Arabidopsis thaliana: one gene and its partners. The protein of the gene in region 2 interacts with the protein of the main gene of each other region in a pairwise test. Each region holds a gene or a part of one and is shown on either strand. Other genes may lie near its edges.

Region 1 (8,476 bases), on a different chromosome or scaffold from region 2:
TAACAAATTCCCAATCGAACAAGATAATTCATACTAAGTATCTCACTATTTTCTCGATCTACATAAATCATCTTCATTTCTCTTGCTAAATTTATTTTTTCAAAAAAAAAAAAATCCAAAACAAATTAATGGATTTTAGTTGCAATTACATTGATTTGGTAAATTATGTTTTGCAATTTCCATAATAATCTACTTGACATTGAACGACTTCAAATTTTTAAAAAGTTCTATCTGAGAATACTAGAGATAATATTTAGAACAAAAAATAAGTTAGATAAATTGGAACCGGAGCTTTGTAGTTATCGGTTAAAAAGGCCGCCTTTTCACGTGTGTCTCGGCCACAAATGTTCTAAGACAGAGAAGTAAGATTCAGTGAACTTTGTTTGTCTCTTATCGAGGAACCTTCGGGTCCCGTACGTTTAATTTGCGTGGACATATTGCCGCCACATGACTGACCCTTACACACATTCATACTTGTACTTTGCTATAATTTCCCACGTGGCAATTAAAAAGCCTGGAGAAATGGATAACATCAAGAAAGAAAATGGTGACTCTATGAACGAATTAAAAAAAAAACTACAATTCTTTCTCAATGTTTATGCATTAGATGATGATTCTTTTTTTACAAAAGGAGAGATTACATGACTCATAGAGAAAAGCTTTATAAATCTAAAGGCTTTTTAATTAAAAAAGTTTGTATATATAAGAAAAATCATGTATTTTTTTCTTTCTTTTTAGCTATTTGAAATTATAATTAAGTTAAAGCCATAGCTTGATTTTGTTTTCTGATGAATAAAGCCATAGCTTGATATTAGATAGAAGCATTCACATGACGAGCCATTAATTCATAGTGATAAATCTTTTTATATTTCCCCAATCGCGGATGACCTTATCCATATCTCTCTCTCTCTTTTCTTTTTTTTTTTGGAAAAATCTCAAACTCATCAATCTCTCTGCTGGTTTTACGATTACTGTTGCCAAAAAAAGAAGGGTCTCTCGAGACAAGTGTTAGGATTACAAACACAACACCAGCTTCCTCCTCTCGACACGACCCTCCGTCATGTCTGCGCCAGCTATATCTTCTCCTCGCCACGTTTCATCACTCTCTTCTAGTATATATACACACCTAACCATTACCTCATGTCTTTGCCTTATCACTCACCAAAAGTCGTCACATAATATCACTTTCGAGTTATCAACATCCGTACATGTCATCCATAGAGCCAAAAGTAATGATGGTTGGTGCTAATAAGAAACAACGAACCGTCCAAGCTAGTTCGAGGAAAGGTTGTATGAGAGGAAAAGGTGGACCCGATAACGCGTCTTGCACTTACAAAGGTGTTAGACAACGCACTTGGGGCAAATGGGTCGCTGAGATCCGCGAGCCTAACCGAGGAGCTCGTCTTTGGCTCGGTACCTTCGACACCTCCCGTGAAGCTGCCTTGGCTTATGACTCCGCAGCTCGTAAGCTCTATGGGCCTGAGGCTCATCTCAACCTCCCTGAGTCCTTAAGAAGTTACCCTAAAACGGCGTCGTCTCCGGCGTCCCAGACTACACCAAGCAGCAACACCGGTGGAAAAAGCAGCAGCGACTCTGAGTCGCCGTGTTCATCCAACGAGATGTCATCATGTGGAAGAGTGACAGAGGAGATATCATGGGAGCATATAAACGTGGATTTGCCGGTAATGGATGATTCTTCAATATGGGAAGAAGCTACAATGTCGTTAGGATTTCCATGGGTTCATGAAGGAGATAATGATATTTCTCGGTTTGATACTTGTATTTCCGGTGGCTATTCTAATTGGGATTCCTTTCATTCCCCACTTTGAGGTGTCACTAGACTCTCTTTAATTGTTAAGTTATCATATACAAACTACATATATATACAAATATAGTCACCGTGAACTAGGATATATATGTAAATAAACACCAGTTACATGTACTTATATATGTGCACATCTATATATGTGGTTTGTCTGTATAGTGTGAAAGCAGATTCTTACCATATCAAAAAAAACATAAAAACGACAGTTGTTTGTCTCGAAGCTAAAAATGTGTCATGGGGAAAACTATTAAATCAAGTGCAATGTATCTGTATAAAGAAAACGGGATGTTACGTTGTGTGTAACGGTCAATGTGTAACTATTATATGTCTCTGTTTCTATGGGCTTTTAAGTCTTTGACTATTCTCTTGGTTTTCTTTGCATCTTCTTCTTAGCTTCTCTTTGTACTAACGTGTAATCCTCGCGAGTCTTGATAGACTATATGGCGTGGTTTATAACAAACCTGGCCCGTTTATTCCGGCCCAACATCATTATATCTCGGCTTATATATGGTCTCCAGTCTCCAATAACGGGCTATATATGATTTAACTAATGGATTCAAATACGAAATCTTGAATCCACATGGTAGACTAACCTATGCCAGATAACGATTATGAGACAAAGTCGCTTATGCACTGTGTTTTTCCTTATGTATATGAATTTCTTTTGTTAATGAAATTTATTTGTATAAGGTAAATAAGATATGAAATTCTGTTAATGAACTTCTTGTTTACATCAAATTAAAAGATGATATTTTATATGTAAAAAGCTGACGTGTAAGCTGATCCGAGAAAACCAAGAAAGATAATGTAGAGCATTGAAGTGTATATGTGAAATTTTTAACACGTTCTCCTTAAAATAATGCTTTTATCCGTCTATTTCAAACAAAATTCTAATATTGGACCAAAAATTATATATCGAACAACACATCTTTCTCAAGTTAGCTAAACTTTAATACCATGTTAAAATCTATGGACTTTCAACTCAAGAATTGGTCCATACTATAACTTAGTTGGTCCATATTATATTATATATATTAAATGTTGGTTTATTTTTAACTTGTTCATTCGGTTAAGAATTTTTATTGGATATTTGATAATAAACTAAATTTGTAAAAAAAAACTGTTTCTTTAAGAGATCATTTTAATCAAATACTAAAGATCTTTTTTTACTTCAGTTCAGAACAAAGCGTTTGATCTAATCCATTTTAAACATCCCCGACAGTGATAATTACTAAAGATCATAAATGCAAATTATAACATTCTATTGATGATAAAGGAAAGAAAAACCCCACAAGAAATGTAAGAAAAAATGGCACTAATATATCAGCCAGATATTATATATAGAAAAGTCTCAATCCAAAGCTCCCACATAGTCTTCTTCATCACTATCATCATCATCATCATCCTCATGAACAATGATGTCTCATCCACCATTTTTTTTCCTTTCTTCAAAAACCTTTCTTAGGTAATTAATAATTTTTTAGAAAAAAAAAAGAAGAGAAAACACTAAGAAAAAAAGCAGACACAAAAGTCATAAAACACAACGGCACACCATTGTTCCCTTTTAATTGGGTAATGGCATTTGTAATTATTAGCTGGAGAGTGATTTGTCCAAAGTAGTCAAACATTGTCCGTTGACTGATGGAGTAGTGGTGTTGTGATGGACGACTTGATGGAGTTGCGAGAAACAGGTGCACGTTCAATACCATGCTCCGCGGAGGACTGGATCGCTGCCTTCTCAAGCGCTGCAAATTTCCTCTCTTCGCTCTTACCGTACAATACGAAGTAAAGTCCCGCTATGATCAAGACCGCTCCAATAATCCTGCCATTAGAAATATGACATGTGGCACAACAAATTTTAAAATTATTCTTGTTTAGGACCTTGGATTTTATCAAGTATTTATATAAACCACTAATATTATTATAGTTTCATACCCGCCCAAATAAAATTCTTCGCCTAACGCAATAGAAGCCATGATCGCAACGACAAGAGTCTGAACAGGCTGGTAAACAGCAACGAAGACTGGACCCCCTCTGTCAATACACCAAATCTGAACCGCAAACGCGATTCCAGACGCTACGATTCCCTGAAGTTAAATCAATTCATTAGGACCAAATTGATTATTTTGAAACATTAGGGCCAAAAACGAATTAATTATAACAGATGAAAGAAAAACTAACGGCGTAGAGGATGGTGAAAAGCTCCCAACCGGAGTGAAAAACCCAAGCCTGAGAATCTCTTTCACAGAAAGCAGCAATGATCAAGAACTGAATGATTCCGAAGAAACAAGTGTAAGACGTAACCGAGAGCCTCGCTGGATAAGACTTAAGAACCGGAGCTTGGAAAACAAGCCAGCCTGACCACGAGAGACAGTGACCGATTAGGTAGATGCAACCAAGGGTCCAGTTTTTAGGCGCGGCGTTTCCTAGCGGCGCTAAGACGGCGGAGTTTGTGGTGAGTAGATGAGCGTGGAGGTGGCTAGCCGGAGTGTAGATGGTTGGACCTTTATAGAGGGTGATGACGGAAGCTCCGGCGACACAAAGAGCTGTTCCTAAGATTTTGGAGATACCGTCTCTTCTGTTTATTCTTACTTTCTCAATCCTGAATTATTGTTTTTTTCACATACAGTACATAAACAGTATGTTACATTGTTGTTACTACTATGATTATCACTATTTTGTAAGCAAATGGAAACGGCATTAAATATTGTCTACGTGTATTATTATCCGTTTCTTTTACGTTGAAAAGTCAAATGGACATTATTAAAGTGGTTCTTGTATATCCAAGCTGTCCAAAATATTGTTATTTATTTTTATAAATCAAAAGAGAATGAAAATGGAGAGATGTGTAGAGTAAGTGCCTGAGAAGAGCAGCCATGAGAAAGGTAATGGCGGGAACAGAGTTTTGCATGGAGGAAGCAAATGTTGGTGAAGTGTTGTCCAGTCCCAACAAGTAAAATCCTTGGTTCGCTGTTATTCTGTCGTGTAATAATTCATTAACTAATTATCCAAATTTGTTATTGAAAAGATCAGAGTGAAGGATATAAATATATACCCTATGAGTGCCAAAAAGAAGAACTGGATGAGAAAGTTGAGAGTAATCGCTGGTCTCTCCTTCCTAAATTAACACAATTAAGTTTGGTAATTAAATAACTAGCAACTAGAGAAAAAATAGGGTTTTCAAATAAAGAAGTGAAGTGAAAATAGAAGGTTACTTTTCAAGGAAGTAAGCGAAGGGAAGGAGAAGAAGCAAGGCGATGATGTTACGATAAACAGGGAAGACGAGTTTGCTGATTCCCATGTTAAGAGCAGCTCGAGACACCACGTGGAATCCGGCGTAACCGAATTGCAACGTCAGCATCGCTATGTGAAGCTGAAGCTTCTCCGGAACTCCCCATAAGGATCTCCGATTATCGGTGTTATCCGCCATTGGATCGAGCTTAACAATCGATCAACGAAGGAAAAAGGCTGTGTGTGTGTGTGTTTGTGTGTGTTGATTGAGGAAAAGAGTGAAGTTGCGGAGATATAAATATAGGTAGATAGCAATCTCATTCCCCTCTTTGCTTGTGGGAACCACCATACTGAGATTTCTAATATGGTATCTATTAAACCTAATTATAACAATGTGAAATATTGAAATATATATATATATATATATATATGGATTTAGGTATATTAATGAGTTTTTGTTGTTTCCTATCATTTGATGTACACACCAAATATTGTTACTTTGGTCTACTGGCAGCATTCACTCCTTGATTATGATTTTTGAATTGGGAAATAAAATTTTAATTTATATTATTATTTCTCTATTGGGTTATATCAAGTATGATAATAATATAGGTTACTTTTTGTTTTACTATTATTACGTTCATTATTATTTTGTTTACAAAGCACACACACAACATAAATATATTTCAGGGAAAATCGCAAAAGGAGAAAGAAAAACTCAACGTATGATAGTTTTACCTAAGAAATATGATTTCTTTTGAGATATTAAAATAAACGATTGTGTTTTCGGATTTTCTTGGAAAAAAAAGACTCTTGAATTGAAAACTATCATACACTATTCTACTTAGCCTTATTGGAAACTATGACCACGTAAACAAAGTCGGGTTAAACTTATAATCAAACACGTTCACATGCACTTACCGTTACCAAAACGAGATAATAAAGTGACAACGTCTCACTAAGTCACAACTTCACAAACATTTTGTGGATGTTGGTACATCTCATATGTTTTAAAATCAAAATTTGAAGACATTCCCAAAATTTTGGACACTATATTTAACATTTATCATCAGCTTTTGTTTCACAACATGATACATTGTTAGTTAATTATATGCTTTCAAAACAACCAACTTTTCATTTATTGATTTCTAACAAGAAGAAACGACTATGAAGCTGTTGGTTAAATCTAAATCGATTAAACAAAGGGCCCGCAAATTTTTAACTGTGTACTATAGTGTTTTTAGAAAATAAAGAAGAGAGCTTAAAAATGTGTAAAAGGGCAAAGCCTGTCTCCCACATTCTTTTATTTTTCTGCTGTTTAGCTGACATGACAACCCTCACGCCACTACTCATTAACGCAACCATCATTATGATTCTTAATTTTTTGTATATCTAAAATCATTTAATTCTGAAAATCAAAAAGGTAAAAATAACAATAGAAAAAGCACAAAATATATCATTATTTACGACTCTATTCCTCAATTTGCACTCACTATCGTAGACATTATAATGGTTTTAGTTTGTCCTTTCCTTTGATATTTATTGAGCAGCATGGCATTGCTACTAATTATTACTTGTACAGTATAGTCTTCAGGAGAATAACACTCTTAATTATAAATGTACGACATTTCGTTTTAACATCTTTTATTTACTTTCTTTTTTGGTAAATATATTTCTTGATTTTATTTATGTTACATAATTAATTTTGTAGGGACGAGCCCCACGCGCACTGCCGAACCGTGAGACCCACAGTACCTCTTATTTCGCAGGCACACCCACACGATCAATATTTATGTACACGCTTACACCAATATTATTATCTGTATTTGTCCTCAATTATTTTAGTTTTATTTTTCTTGTTAATTTATTTTAGTTCTATTTTTTTGTGCTCATCGAATAGACGTGTGTAATTGTTTTCCAATAGTCAAATACATTTGTATCCCTATAGAATAGAATCATCGAAAATTTTATGGTTGCTTGCTTGTATATGCTTTCATTTTTCTCTTTCTTTTTGTCTTGTTATTTTTGGAGAGATCGACAATGTAAACCCAGAGAAACCAATTTAGTAAATTGTACACAGAAACATGTGCATATCCACGTGAAAACAAACCAAATATGTATTTTTCTTTCCTTCCACGAATGTATCACGACAAAAGAAATATCATGGCAAAAATTGTTCATGGAATATTATTTTGTCACAAATCTGTTTTAGATAAACTATATGCAGCAACATGTAAAACATAACAAAATATAACAATATGGAATTTTCATTACTTCATTATATTCCATTTCTATTACAAAAATCTTTTTTTTTTATGAACAATAACAAAGATATTTACCTTAACATTTTAATACATCTAGTTAAACTTAGTTATACTTTCACGTTACACTAATTTATCTAATTGCTCTATTTTATAAAATATATTTATTCTACCATTATCCCGATGAACCTAAACTAAAGTTTGTATCCTCTGTTCTTGACATAGATGCTATTCATATCAAAATTGAATAGAAAATATCTCAATACACAGCGAAACATGTTTTTTAATTGTATAAGAAATCATTGTTTCTAATAATATCATACTTCTGTAAATATTTTCTACATTTATAGAAAATTGTTCCTACAAAATTAAAAATTTATCAAAATATATAAATAACTAGTTGTAGTTCTAGCTACAAACATTATCACTAAAACAATTTTGTTAAAACATTTCCAGTAATCCTAAAGAAGGGATTATTTTGGGACATTCAAAATGATATCAGCATTTTAAAAAAAAATCGAAACAGTTTTGTAAAATCTTACTAGATTAGTTGTAGAAAAGCTTCTTACAAGAAAAGGTTGTGACGTTTTTTGAAAACAAATTTTATGGTGTAGTTTCGGGGTAATCCTAAATTAAAATAAATAAAAAAACTTAAGAAAGGTCAAAGGAGTATGTATATATGTGATGAAACTGGCCGTGCAAGTGGTACACGTATGCTCAACCGTATCCATAATGCCATTTGTCGAGGCAGACCCCTTCATTAACTATACTGAGATTTCCAAATCTGTCTACAATTCTTGTAAATGATTATTTCATCATAATAAAAATACGTAGTTTGCCAGAGGTCTTGGCATGAGTTTTCCTTCTAATTCATTCAGAATTTGAGGGTTTGATTTACGCGATGATGTGTATGGTAGATAATTGAAAAATATCAATTGTTTCTCCAGGTACTGTTCATAACTAGTAAAAGTGATCTTATTGATGAATATCTTGTTATTGTATGTTGAAATTGGGAATTACTCTTTTCAGATATAGCTATTAGCTATAGTATCAGTAAATTTTGAGAGATAAATGAAGACATACCCAGCTGGACATACCAAATCCAGCACATATTAGTTTGTTAATTATATATGGTTTATATTAGGATCTATAACGTAGG
Region 2 (6,509 bases):
TTCTCAATTTCATCTTCAAGTATCTCATTCTCTCCCACTTTCCTATGTCTTGTTCCGTTCTTTTCATCTCCTACAGTAGCACAACCAACATCACACCCCTGAAAAAAATGTGAGCCAACATGGCTGTCTCCATTCCATTTCATCTCCTTCTTCCTTGGCTTCCTTAAGATCCATTGGTTGTTCCTTGTTTTCCTCAAGATCAATTGCTTGTTCCTCATGATAAAGCTCCATCGTAGCAGCCATTTCGGACACAATCACTTGCCCAAGATTCAGTTTGGTCGTACTTTCCTCCACACAGTTTTCTTTCTTTGAGTCAGTGGCTCCATCATCCATTCCTAGATTCAAAGCAGCAATATCATCCTTTACCTTCAAATCCCTCTCCTTAAACAGATCTATTTTCTGTGATCTAATGACCATCTGCAAATGCGACGCATAGAAACAATCCCCGAGTGGAGGCTCCGCTTTCAACTCTTTCTCAACCATAAACCACATCAGTCCAGCCCAGTCCAGCTTATCCAATTGCTTTTTCTTTATACCTTTCATCCATTCCACCACTTCATCTGGCATCATCCACGCATCATCACAATGCAGTAGCATCCAATTAGAGATAACATCTTCAACAACACTGATTGATTCATCTGATTCCAGAAATTCCTTATCCTCATCAAGAATGACAACACGTTCTTTCTTATTAGGCAACTTCAAAGATCGAGCCAAATCCGCACGACTAAGTTTAATCCTAGACCCGTTTATATAGCTGCACTTACCTCCAGCACTATAGGAAGCTATAAGTTGAGCCACAAGATCATAATCCATATCCTGATCAAATTCCAAATGCACAAAATCCCACAATCCGAGAGTCTTTAAGAGACTCTCATAACAAGCAAAATCTAGGGTTTTTAATGGCTTGAAAGGTACAAGCTTTAATGTTTCAACAAGTACCTTGAGCTTCTTCTTAGACTTCTCTTCTTGCTGCTTACGTTTCTTATCGTTACATTTCTTCCGCTTTGGCCCACCACCGTGACAACTAAAAGAAAAGCTCATGGCTTTTGAATCCAGAATATCAATCTCGTCTTCCTCACTCAACTGTTTCTGATCACTACCGTTCTCCTGCGATTTCCTCATTTCGTCCGACACTGACTCTAAAATTCTGATTTTGTTCGGAACAGAATGTGTCTCTGAAGCTTCAGAGACTTCTTCCTCCAAAGTAGCTTGCTTAATCAGGTTTCTTAAAATAGTTACTGTATCTTGCTCTCGAGATGCAAAAGGATTCGCCGGAGGATCCATGACTGGGTTTTGTTTTCCGATCTCCTCCTCTTTCAGAAATTGAAAAGGTTAAGGAGCTAAAGAGTCTTTTTGTTTACTAATTAACCATAATTAATATGCTCCGTCATCAAAAACAGAGCAGCTAAAAACACTTCATTAGAGGCCCATATGTATATGGGCCGGAGTTTAATACGGCCCAAATCAGTATAACCGAGTTCAATAACCGGTAAGAATTAAAATATTTTACATTATTCACCCAAATCTTTACATTAATCACAACAAACTCCAACATCTATTCGACTCTTTCAAATTCACACTCTTCCTCCTCTTCGAAATCTCCGAGTACAAAATCGATCAATCTCTCGGAAAATGATCGTGTATTCTCTCTCTCAGCCTCACTGCTTCCTAATGAATCTCTCTATTTCTCCTCATTACGGTTGCTGCTACTGCGGAGTTTGGTGGGGAGGTATTAGAGACGGAGCTTTGGTGCGTGGCGAAGAACAACGTTGAGGATTCAACACTTTAAACGGCCATTGACTGGGCTTGTGGTCCCAGAGGAGCTGATTGCGTCTAGATTCAGCAAGGTGGATCCTGCTACGATCCATTGGATATAGTGAAGATGGCTTCGTATGTATTCAATAACTATTATCTGATGGAATGGTCTCGCAGATGAAGCTTGCAACTTTAGTAACAACGCAGCTGTTACTTCTCTCAATCCTAGTAAGTTCACATTTTCTTTCAGGATCAATGTCTAGCAGATAGTTATGACTTTTGCTAATTGAAAATGTTGAAAGTTTGATGCTTTTTCTGCAATTTTTCGTTTTCAGGTCAAGGAACATGCAAGTTTCCTTCAAGGTAATTAAGTAATCCACATTTGTATTGCCAATTAGCGTTTGTGTGTGTGTCTCATTTATAGTCTGTTTGGAGCAATTTTGATCCATCATAGGTTCTTTTAGAAAATGATTTCTAGTTTGATGGGTTTTGAACTTTTGAGTGAAATGAAATCTTTTTTTTGTTTTTTTCATTAGCTTCTGGCTTAGAAGGATGAAGTTACTTCACTTCTCCTCGACAATTGATTTTGATCTTGGTGATTATATTGTTCATATTATCAATATGATGCAGTTACTGCAGAACATAGAAGAAGTTTCAAAAACTATTAAAGCAATTTTTTTGAAAATGTTCTCATTCTCCATGAGGCTTCGTTTCATTGAGTATAGTAATAGTTACACTCATGCTGTTGAAATCTGGTGTGCAGTAAGGGAGTGAGCAATGGAAGTATCGCAGATGCCACTTCAATGCAGGGAGCAACTGCACCAGAATTCTCAGATTGAGCCGAGCAAGGCGGATGTTTAGCAGCTGGTTGTCACCCTTCGTCATTTTAGGCCACATTGTGACAATGACACTGATTATCCAACAGGTTTAGCTTCCGATTGGTGATTGAAGGTAACCCTTTTATGATCTCTCTTCTCCCTCAGTTTTATGTAACTAAAATGGTTCTGCATCTTTTATGGAGCCCTGATATGTACTGTCTACCACTGTGAATAGTTAACTTGAATGGCATGAACTGCACCAGATGTATCTTTTGACTAACATATATTTAGTGTTCCGTTACACAAAACTATCTAAAACCAAAAACAGAGCATGATATAGTAAAAAAGAAAGGAGGATATTGTATAAATTAAAGATTATCGATATGTGTATATGATTTATATGCATAATATGTATCTATATGTCGACTCAATGTCTCTCAAGATCTGCCACACGATCTTGGTCAGGACAAGAATGGTTGATCCTGTTCGAAGATCTTTCCCTCGTCAAGATTTTCCTAAACGAATTTAATCGCGAAGCCGGGGATACAACTGTTTTGTTATCTGAGGAAGAAGAGGATGCGGCTTCTACAGTCAAGTTCAGCCTGGTTTCCACCAACAACTGCGGTGCAGTACCGACTGGTCCTTCCCTTGGCTCAGGCTCAAGTCTCGGTCTTGGCTCAACTTCAGTCCGACAAACAGGACAAGTGGAGCAAGTGGTGAGCCACGTGTCAACACAGTCGACGTGGAAGATGTGCTTGCAGTTGGGCAACTCTCTCGCCTTGTCTTGCTCCTTTAACACGCTTAGACACACTGCGCATTCAGTAGCGGAGGCAGCCACGCCATCAGTGGCTCCAACAGTGAAAGTAGGGAGAGAAGCGATGACTGTGGGATTGAGGCCACGCTTAGGCATCTCAAAAGGGTGGCGGAAAATGACGGGGAGGCCACGGAAAGCTTCTCTACGGCGTCGGAGAACGAATCTTGCGTAAAGATGAAGAGCGAAGACGATGAGGATAACTCCAGATAAAGAAGCCACTGCGGCAAGCATGATCTTGCTGTTAAGATCGTAAGTAGACGGATTAGGCCAGAATGAGTGGTGGTCAGAGTTGAACCTGCGATGATCTCTGTCGTTGGAGCTCATTGTGAAGCTGGTTTTTCTTCGGTGGATGCAAAAGAAAAGTGAACAAAAGAGTTTACTAACTTATGATTTATTATATAAGGAATAAAGGACTTATAGAATTTCTTATTTTGATTGTTTTTCCAAGGCTTATACTTTAGTTGGTGGGTGGAGAAAAATGTGAAGTAGATAGAATTAGAAACTTTGGGAGATAGGTAGACTTTCACGAGGGTTTAGAAATTTCACCATTGTTGACTAAATGGTAGATTGTAGATTATTTATAGGTGATAGGTTTGAAGATTATAGACTGTATATATAAAGAGTGGAAAATATCAAAATCCTACGTAAAAAATTTGTGGACTGAATTTGCCTATTATGATTTCACGGTATTAGGAGTTAACTCGCATATATAGACTGAATTGTCTACCATCATTTCAGTGTATCAAGAGTTAGTTAGTCTCATATGCTGCAAATAGTATGGTGCAAATTGGTTTATCCAAGTAGATATATATAGATAAATTCATCTCTAAACATAGAATGTTAGAGTTACATATGATACTGCTATCAAAATTTTAAAATATGATAATACAATTTATTTTGTCAACAAAAAATGATAATATATATAGTCAAGAAAATACGAAAATTAAAGGTTAAAACGTGTGAGCCTGTGAGGATACGTGTGGGAACCACAAAGTTTGACTTGAAGAAGAGTCGTCTATGTAGGGCACACACGCATTAGATATACCTTAATAACAAAATTGTCTCGATTGTATGTTACAAGTTCAACTTTCTTTTTTTCTTTTCCCCTTTTCACACGTTAAGCAATAAGCAACAATGTTTTTGTAATTACTGTAACATACAAAAAGTGTGCCATTCATATTTACACATACAAAAGATTTCAGTACAAGAATAAAAAGTTAAAAGGAAGAAGAAGTATTATGGTTCATGAATTAAGGATTAATTATGGATGCATGTGTGTTTATACTTTTTTTTTTTTAACCGGCGTATGTGTGTATATACTATATACTGAATTCACTGTCTTTCAATATCCAATTCACGATCTTGGTCAACGCGAGAATGATCCCGCCTGTTCGAAGATCTTTCCCTTGTCAAAATCCTCCGGAACGAGTCTAACCTCGAAACCGATGATCCGCCGGTTTTGTTATCAACCCCCGCGAAATCTAACGGCGGTGCAAAGTCGCCAACTGGCCCTTCCCTAGGCTCAGGCTCAAGCCTTGGATGACTTGGCTCGGCTTCAGTTCGACAAACGGGACAAGTGGACTGCGTGGTGAGCCACGTGTCAACGCAAGACACGTGGAACACGTGTTTGCAGTTCGGTAACATCCTTGCATTATCTTTCTCCTCCAATAAGCTTAGACAAACCGCACATTCCGTACCCGCCACGTCATTCTTGATTCCAACCACGAACGTTGGGAGAGAAGCGATGACTAGAGAATCGAGGCCACGTTTTGGCGGCTGAGAAACGACAGAGAAGGAGAGGTCTTGGAAGGCTGATCTACGGTGGAGAACGAATTTTGCGTAGAGATAATAAACGAACACGATGATGATAATAATAGAGAAGGAAACGGTGGTGACGAGGAAAATCTTGCTGCTGGCATCGTAAGAAGTCGAGTTTTGCCAGAAAGAACGGTCGTCGGAATCATCAGTTTTGTTGTTAGAGCTCATGATGAAGCGTTTTGTTTTGGTAGAACAAGAGACAGAAAGTGGTTACTATAATCTAATAACAAGTTACTAATAGATTGAATGGATCTCATGTTGTGTAATTAAATTGTTTTTTATTATTTTTTCTACTTTTGTTTATTCTTCATAGCTATTACTTGGATTCAAGGGACATACAATATGATTGGTGGGTGTGAGAAAATAGGCAGCAGAATACTCATAAATTTTCGAAGGAAATTGTTGACTTTACTCGGATTTGTTATCATTTTCTTAATTTTAAATTAAACTTTGGAAATTCAAAAAATAATAATATAGGATTGCAATATTCTTTATACCGTAATACATAACATGTCGACAGTGTATATGAGAATTCTAGATATATGATGATACAATTTCTCCCAATAATATGACAGGACTTAATGTAAATGGAGCATAGTCAAGAAAATACGAAATTTTAAAGTTATAACGTGAGGTATGGAGCGAGGCTGCGTGTGAGAATCATATGGTTTGACTTGAAGAAGAGTATTCGAAGTAGACAAACATGCTAATCTATTACAAGTTGTGTGAATATATTAAAAATTCAACTCTCTTTTTAATTGTTTTTTTTTTTCCACACGTTAGCTCTTTTGTTTCCTTGTATATACTTGTAGGAAAAAAGTCATTGTATTTTGATGATATATCTTCAAAACATATTATATTTTATCTTTTTAAAATTATAATTAACAATGAAATAATGACTTTTTCTCATTTAAGATATTTGTACTTTTCATATCTCACTGGATTTGGGTCTCATTTTTTTTATGTACATAAAAAGAACTATGAAACCAAAAACCTTCCCGTAATCAGGTGTAGTTTGATTATCCTTTTTATGTTTTTTTTTTGTGGGTAAATTTTTTTATAGGTTTTGAGTATCTTATAAGGTATATATATGTATAAACAACTTAGTTTAATAAATATACTTATATATATATATATATATATTATAAGTTTCTTACCATTTTCTGAAGATAATTATAATAAACATTGTAATTCAAAGAATAAAATGTTGATGTTTGTTGGATCCCAATTATAATAAAATGATTAATAAGAAAATATAATATGTTATCATTTATTTTGGGATGTCAAAACTCATTTTTTTT
Region 3 (7,036 bases), 8.2 Mb from region 2:
AGTGTTATCGAACTAATAATTTAAAAATCTACTTTAAAATGTACTCTTATTGAAAACAATTTGTGGATTTGATTCTTATTAATTTTGAAAGATTTTAATAAAGATTTAAAAATATACCTTAAAATGCGATGTTACTGCATACAAAAACTTAATAACTTTTTCTGCATATACTATGATTTTAATTTAGAAAAACCAAATATATATTACTTAATTAATATAAAGTGTGTGTTCATCATCCTATATCCGCTAAAATATTTAAAAATAAATAATCACTTAAAAATGAATTGAGAAATAATGTATTTTTGTACAATTGATTAAGGGAATTGGGAGAGCCAACATTGACTAATTGGCAAATTCAAAATAGTTAAGAACCAAGGGAGTATCACGCCAGGGCGGCTGGTACACATATGCCTCGTAGGTCTTGCTATCACCATCGTCTCCATTCACTGACATCAATAATTAACAATGTAACTTGAGTGCTGTTGTTCTCTTTGTTCTGCTTGGCCATGGTGAACTTGTCAATAACATCAAATGGAAGGATCCTTAATGTATTCAATGAGAAACCAATCACCTAAGAGCAACCTTAATGGTAGACTCTTAATTTTATCTCTTAACTATTTTATGAATTGTATTATTGAAAAAATTATAGCTAAGAGTTTTTGTAATGGTTTGAAGTTCTTAAACCTTCTTTTATCTCTTAGCTAAGGACTTTTTCTAAACTATTCACATATTATTTTGATTATATATTATACCTAAGATTTATAGTAAGAGACTTGCAATAAGGATGGTCTAATGTCTCTTCCGTTCTTTATTTTTCTATATTTGTTTATATATATAGAGAGAGAAGATTCAAGTAAATCAGACGGTTCTAACAAAACTTGATTTGACTCAATTATCTAGTGCCATAGAAAGCCTAAAACTATATGTAATTTTAAATGTATTGACTCAGTAAATGAATGTATATGTTGATCTGTGAGATGTTCCAAACTACTTGGTAACATGGGGATGCATGTGACTTAGATGCCCAAATTATAGGGAGCAAAAACATTGATCACCAATCCCTTCACTTGAATAATAATTTTCTGTGACATGTCTAAAAGGTGGACTAAAAACAAAAATCTTTTGGCAAACTCTAAATGTCTTTTGATTGGATAGTCAACTTTTTTAGACACCAAAATTTAAAGTAACAAAAAAGGAAATTTTCTTTTGTATCGGAACTTTCGAATGTAGTGGTGTGAAGGAAAAGAGAGAAACACAAATAAGAGTGAGGCCTAGGCGTGCGTTCCAACCAACCGACCATGTGGAATTATATGATAAAAGAATGTTTGTATTTTACATCAAGATTGCAAATGTTTAAATTTTAAAGCATTAAATAGAGTTGGATACTGCGCTCATCCCAAAATGTGTGAAATTCAATATTAGCTAGTTAGTTTAGAATGATATAGTCTCTTGCAAAACATCATACATAAAATAGTATTTAATTTGATTTGTTTGGTACGCTCACAAAAAAAAATAGAATAAATGAATATAGTGTCTTGCAAAACATCATACATCAAATAGTTCTTTGATATCCTAACTATTATTACTGGTTTCTATACAATTTTATATATCCAACCTTTACCCGAAATGAAGAATTCATTTTATAATAAACTATAAAATTTGTCTTTTTATATTCTTGCTAGAAGATAACAATATTGTTGTCATAATTAGGACTGTGAAAATGGTCCAAAGGTGCCCTTAATAAATAATTGGACCTATTTGTTTCACTTTCTAGTGGAATATCTTTATACACAATTATTGTTTCTCCACTGTGGTTTCGCGAAAATGACCACTCAACCTTTTCTTGGTAGATGGTAGGGGTATAGAATAAATGATTCTTTATGTATATTCGATTTTTTAAAATAATCAAGTATATTTAAAATAACTAGCGCACAAAAAAAAAAGAACATTGCATTTTGAAATCTGCGGTGAAATATAAAAATATTTTTGTATAAACTTTCATAATTTGTATTTTCTTATTAATACATTCCACTTATTGAACAATAAGATGGTGAGGCCAGATTCTCGCAAAGCATTTCCGTTTATTAACACATTCGCCTCTAAACGGGTAGTTGCATTCGCAGACAAGTACCTCTATGGACTATGGCGAATTCGACGAAGCCAAAGATCATATATTTTTATGAGTCCTTTCTCCTTCAAAACGTGGCCTTAAGTTGGTGGTCCTCTACTAAGCTCGCATCTCACTCCTGATTGGATGCATATGCAACCCCACCTCGTCAATGGCACTATCAAAATTCTCAGCTTCTATCTCTTATGTTTGTTGTGAGCGATAGTGTAATGACTATATTCAATTTTTACCGTACGAAACAGTAAACCGTCAGCTCTAGTGATCGACAAAATAACAGATCGGGTCTCCTCGCACCTATATTTTAATATGACTTGTCTTCACGACCTCATTAGATGTTGGCTCGAAGGAAGAAGTACTGATCAAGATTGTTTCTTTTCAACTTCCATTCTTCTAAAAGTCTATTTGTTTCTTTTCAATCTTCATTCTTTTAAAAGTCTATCTTTTCTTTCAAACTTTTGAAATTCTCTATTAATTAAAATATAAATATCTTTGTTGAAGCTAAATTTTACATTCCAACAGAAAAAGAGAAAGTTAAACTAATAGAAATGTACAGACGGCACTTATTCCCAAAATGTAAGTTACATTTCTATAATAAAACTAACAACACTGAGAAATGAGAATGATCTTATCAAAAAGAGAATGATAAAAAAAAAAAGAAAAAAAAAAGAGGGAATGATCCCATCAAGTTTTCGGAGTATTGCTTGTACACACTTGGTCTAGGAAAAATCTTAGGAGGTGAAATGTTACTTTTGCATTTAGGCCCAATTATATCTTCTGTTTTTAAGAAGTTCTGACTAGTCTGTTTATTTGTAATCTGGGCTAAACTAAATTTATTTGTAAAAGCAAAGGTACATTTAAAAAAAAAAAAAGACGCTCACTCTATTGTGTTCTTCTTGTTCACGTTTTCTTTTGTCGCTCAACAATATAGAGTAAAAACAAAGACATTAGGGAAAAAAAATGAACAATTGAACATTACATAGAAAGTATGAATTAATTAAGCACATTGTTAACTCTAACGACACAATCATGTTATATATAAAATATATATAGAGCGAGTGTCAGTTCTTGAACTCACTCTCACAATTCTCCGACACAATCTCAACCTTCTTCGCATCTAATAGTCCCTTAACCTTAACATCACAAGTCACCACCACTTCCTTGTTCCGTTTGACCGGCCCTGCTTCATACTCAGCCTTCAGCTCCATATTCAGCATCAGAACAACCGGTTGCTTCGATCCACGAGGTTGTACAACTGCGTTCTTGGTCGACCCATTAAGCTTCACATTGACCTTGTCGGATCCAGATGCGGCCTGGGACAACCCCGGAAATTTCCCGCTCCCCAGGCTCTTATTCTTGTACGTTAAGGAAACGACCCCGTTCTTTTCCATCATGTAGCGTACTCCCATGTTAGACGTTGGATTCTCGGCTCTTAATGTGACCTCAAAATTACTAGGATTTACGGTCAATCTCTCGACCGCGAAAACAGGAAGAGTGGGGTTGAAAGCGAAATGGAGGATGAGAATGATTGCACCGAGTAAGAATCCGAAAATGACCAAGATAATGAAGAACCACAAAAGACGTTTAGAACACCCTTTCTTTTTGTTTTTCTCCGGGTTCTTGCTGCGTTTCTCGACGTATTTTGCATGTTCCGGAGGAGGGGTCCAATAGACTTGATCTCTCGGGACTTGGACAACGTACGTCTCTAACTCAGGGATTGAATCCGGAGGAGGAAGAGGCGGAGAAGATGTCGTTGGGAGTGGAGACAGATTAAGAGAATGATTACGCCAATGGTGTGAACCGTGCGATGGAGGATCTAAAGATGGCAATGCGGGGAGGCTAGAGGTTGGACGGTGCCAAACGGACGGAGGATCATCGGGTTTGTCATCGTCAGAGTCAGGGGCGGTGGCGGAAGGAGGACGCCGTGGCCCCTCCATCGGAGAAAGGTGGGAGTTACGAGATGTGTGGTGGAGATTGGTCTACAGAGAAGACGAAAGAGAGAGAATTAAGAGAGGATGCGAAAATTAGGGTTTGCATGGGAAAAGTAAGTGGTTGTTGTTGCATGACTCAAACTTTTGGTTGGTTTTGAGAAGATTTTGCTATTTAGAGTTAGCCAGCTCACCTTAAATTTCCCTTTTTCTGTTATTTAGAAAACTATATTACAGAACTCATATAATATAGTATTATGGCATTTGATGATGATCAACGAAGTTGTTACTTTTTGTTTACAAGATATCGATTTTCTAACATAAATTATATATGCATATAAGACATACATGAGTAAAATCTTAAAAAGGTTAGCACATATTGGTAATGTTTATCATGAACGAGTCTTATTTTATTTTGTACGTTTCGAACTAAAACCATTTTTGGGTGGTATTTCTGGACCAAATTTTCATTAAAGTGTTTTTTATTTCAATTCTCTTGCAACTTCTGTTTCTTTAGAAAGCGAAAAATGCATATATACGAATATACGTTGGGATTGACATGAACGGAATGTATGTATTTACACACATTAATCCGCAGCAACCGGCCATTCAAAATTATGTTTGTGGGCCTTGTTGCTGCTTCGCTGACAATACTATCCAAAATTTATTTCATTTTTCTTTCTTTGAAAAACACACAATCACTTAATTTTCATTTATAAATCAAACATATGTACATGAAAATATCAAGGAAATTAAAGGAAATCTTACCTTCATATGGTCGAAAGTTTTCTTTCAAAAAGCAAAAACAAAAATTAATGTTTCTCTAATTCTTCCCCGGCCCCAATCCACGTGAAACATGTTATGTTGCGAGCATTACACTGGAAACTGTTACATTACATTCTAATTGGCGAAAAATGAAGTGCATTTGTATTGTATCTCACGAAGATTTGCGTTTGTGACAAAAAAAAATATGCAATTTTTTTCGAAATCTGACAACCCATGCCGACCTGTCCGCCGAGTTAACGACGTGCTTATAGGATCCTTAAGTATTTTTATTCTTATTTCTTACTCATTCCAACGGACCAAAAACGACCACGTCATCTTCATACGCAACTCCCAAAACAGACGATAATTAAATCATTGAAATCTAAACTCTCATATACTTTAGCATTTTCAACATTTCTATTAATATTTCCATAGACTAGATCTCTCTTTCTTATACATCCATATCACCGATGATGCCTCGCCGTGACGTCCTCTTCCTCTCACTCCTCCTCGTCATCGCCACCGTCTCCGCTGTCGCATTAGCCGTAAGTTTTCCAAATCTGACTTGCTTCCTCTCATATATGATTTTGTCTAGAACTAGACACACACATTAACCAGATTTGAATATGTATATAATGACACAACATCAATGACATTAGTTTAAACTATTAGACTACAAACTTCTGTTTCTTCCCATTTAAAAAAATGACTTTCTTGATTTCACAGGACGATGAAGCAGATTGTGTCTACACATTCTTCCTTAGAACCGGATCAACCTTCAAAGCCGGTACAGATTCGATCATAAGCGCTAGAGTCTACGACAAATACGGAGACTACATCGGGATCCGAAACCTAGAAGCATGGGGTGGTTTAATGGGACCAGGTTACAACTACTACGAGAGGGGTAATCTCGACATTTTCAGTGGGAAAGCACCATGTCTTCCGAGCCCAGTCTGTTCATTAAATCTGACCTCTGACGGCTCCGGTGACCACCACGGTTGGTATGTTAACTACGTGGAAGTCACGACAGCCGGAGTTCATGCAAAGTGCTCGTACCAAAGCTTTGATGTTGAGCAATGGCTTGCGTCCGATACATCGCCGTATGAGCTCAGTGCTGTTCGGAATAACTGTCCAGTTTCGCTTAGGGAAAGTGTCGGTCGGGTCGGGTCTGAGATCCGGAAGACTCTCTCTTGGATCGTGTGAGAGTAGTGAATGAAATGTCAAATGTGTATGTGTGTGTGTAACTTGGAGAGTTGTTCTTTGTTGTCTTGTGAACGTGTGATGGCAATAATGAAAATGATTCGATCGAATAAAAGTTCCGTTCTTTGTTGTTTGTGAGATTTTTATCAAACATTATTAAGTTTTTCGTGTGATGAAATTAAAAGATAATTACTGATCATATTAAAAAGAAAAAAAGATAATTACTGGTTGATATAGTTTCTTTGTTTCGTTTTATTTTCACAAATAAACGTTCAAAGCTACAACCTTATGATTAATCAAAACTTTGCCAAATAGTATAAAAGATGGGCCCTTTTCACATTTTTCGATGTAATTTTAAACATTTAATACAGAGTGGATCTTCACAATTTTAATCATTTTTGTGCATGTTCAAAAAGTCAACAAGAAACTTACAATTTTGTAAGAAACATCAACGACATTAATTGGTATTGGCCTAAACCTCCTAATTAAGTGACATTTGGTTGAAACGGAACATTTCTTTGGGTCATACTAATAACTGAAAACCATTATCAAATGAATGACTTTAAAATTCCTCCTAAGGCACCATATAAATCTCACTATGCTCCTAATCGTCTTTTAAATCTATAAAAGAAGGTGTGAGCAATAAGTTCCTCAATGAAAATTGAAAAAGATCATCCCTGCACACATAATCTATAGAACCACAAAGCAATATACAAGCTAGACATAAAATAAATAGACAATATGCCTTTAAAAGATAATTACTGATTGTATAATATTTATTTACAAAGACTTCGTTAAGGTCAAAATATTTATGTCTAATCTCCATCCCCCTAGAACATGTTTTTTTCTTTCTTAATAATAGTAACTGTCTAAAAAGAAAGAATTTATGATTCTCATAAAAATTAGAAGAAACAGATTAAAATGGTTTTATTCAATCATATTAATTGACAGAAAATTAAATGTCATATAAACTACAATGAAGAAAATGATAAAGTAGTGAACCTAGTGATAATCCTTT

What was found.
Region 1: the proteins of AT2G42360 (region 2) and WAT1 interact in a protein complementation assay, tested with the Arabidopsis thaliana proteins (one large-scale study listed by BioGRID).
Region 3: the proteins of AT2G42360 (region 2) and AT2G22180 interact in a protein complementation assay, tested with the Arabidopsis thaliana proteins (one large-scale study listed by BioGRID).

Annotation. Positions count from the first base shown.
Region 1 is NC_003070.9:28,334,837-28,343,312, forward strand, and holds WAT1 (Walls Are Thin 1), read right to left. Parts: upstream 5,440-8,476; 5' UTR 5,256-5,439; coding exon 5,041-5,255; intron 4,944-5,040; coding exon 4,881-4,943; intron 4,804-4,880; coding exon 4,687-4,803; intron 4,428-4,686; coding exon 4,007-4,427; intron 3,913-4,006; coding exon 3,761-3,912; intron 3,648-3,760; coding exon 3,446-3,647; 3' UTR 3,352-3,445; exon of another isoform or gene 2,946-3,351; 3' UTR 2,890-2,945; downstream 1-2,889. Other genes in the region: AT1G75490 (Integrase-type DNA-binding superfamily protein), read left to right, coding at 1,209-1,829. UniProt on the Arabidopsis thaliana protein: Required for secondary wall formation in fibers, especially in short days conditions. Promotes indole metabolism and transport (e.g. tryptophan, neoglucobrassicin and auxin (indole-3-acetic acid)). May prevent salicylic-acid (SA) accumulation.
Region 2 is NC_003071.7:17,638,112-17,644,620, reverse strand, and holds AT2G42360 (RING/U-box superfamily protein), read right to left. Parts: upstream 3,824-6,509; 5' UTR 3,715-3,823; coding exon 3,004-3,714; 3' UTR 2,831-3,003; downstream 1-2,830. Other genes in the region: AT2G42370 (uncharacterized protein), read right to left, coding at 1-67, 120-1,287; AT2G42350 (RING/U-box superfamily protein), read right to left, coding at 4,723-5,376. UniProt on the Arabidopsis thaliana protein: E3 ubiquitin-protein ligase able to catalyze polyubiquitination with ubiquitin-conjugating enzyme E2 UBC8, UBC10, UBC11, UBC28, UBC29, UBC30, UBC35 and UBC36 in vitro.
Region 3 is NC_003071.7:9,425,995-9,433,030, reverse strand, and holds AT2G22180 (hydroxyproline-rich glycoprotein family protein), read right to left. Parts: upstream 4,289-7,036; 5' UTR 4,063-4,288; coding exon 3,187-4,062; 3' UTR 2,890-3,186; downstream 1-2,889. Other genes in the region: PLAT2 (Lipase/lipooxygenase, PLAT/LH2 family protein), read left to right, coding at 5,289-5,363, 5,545-6,021.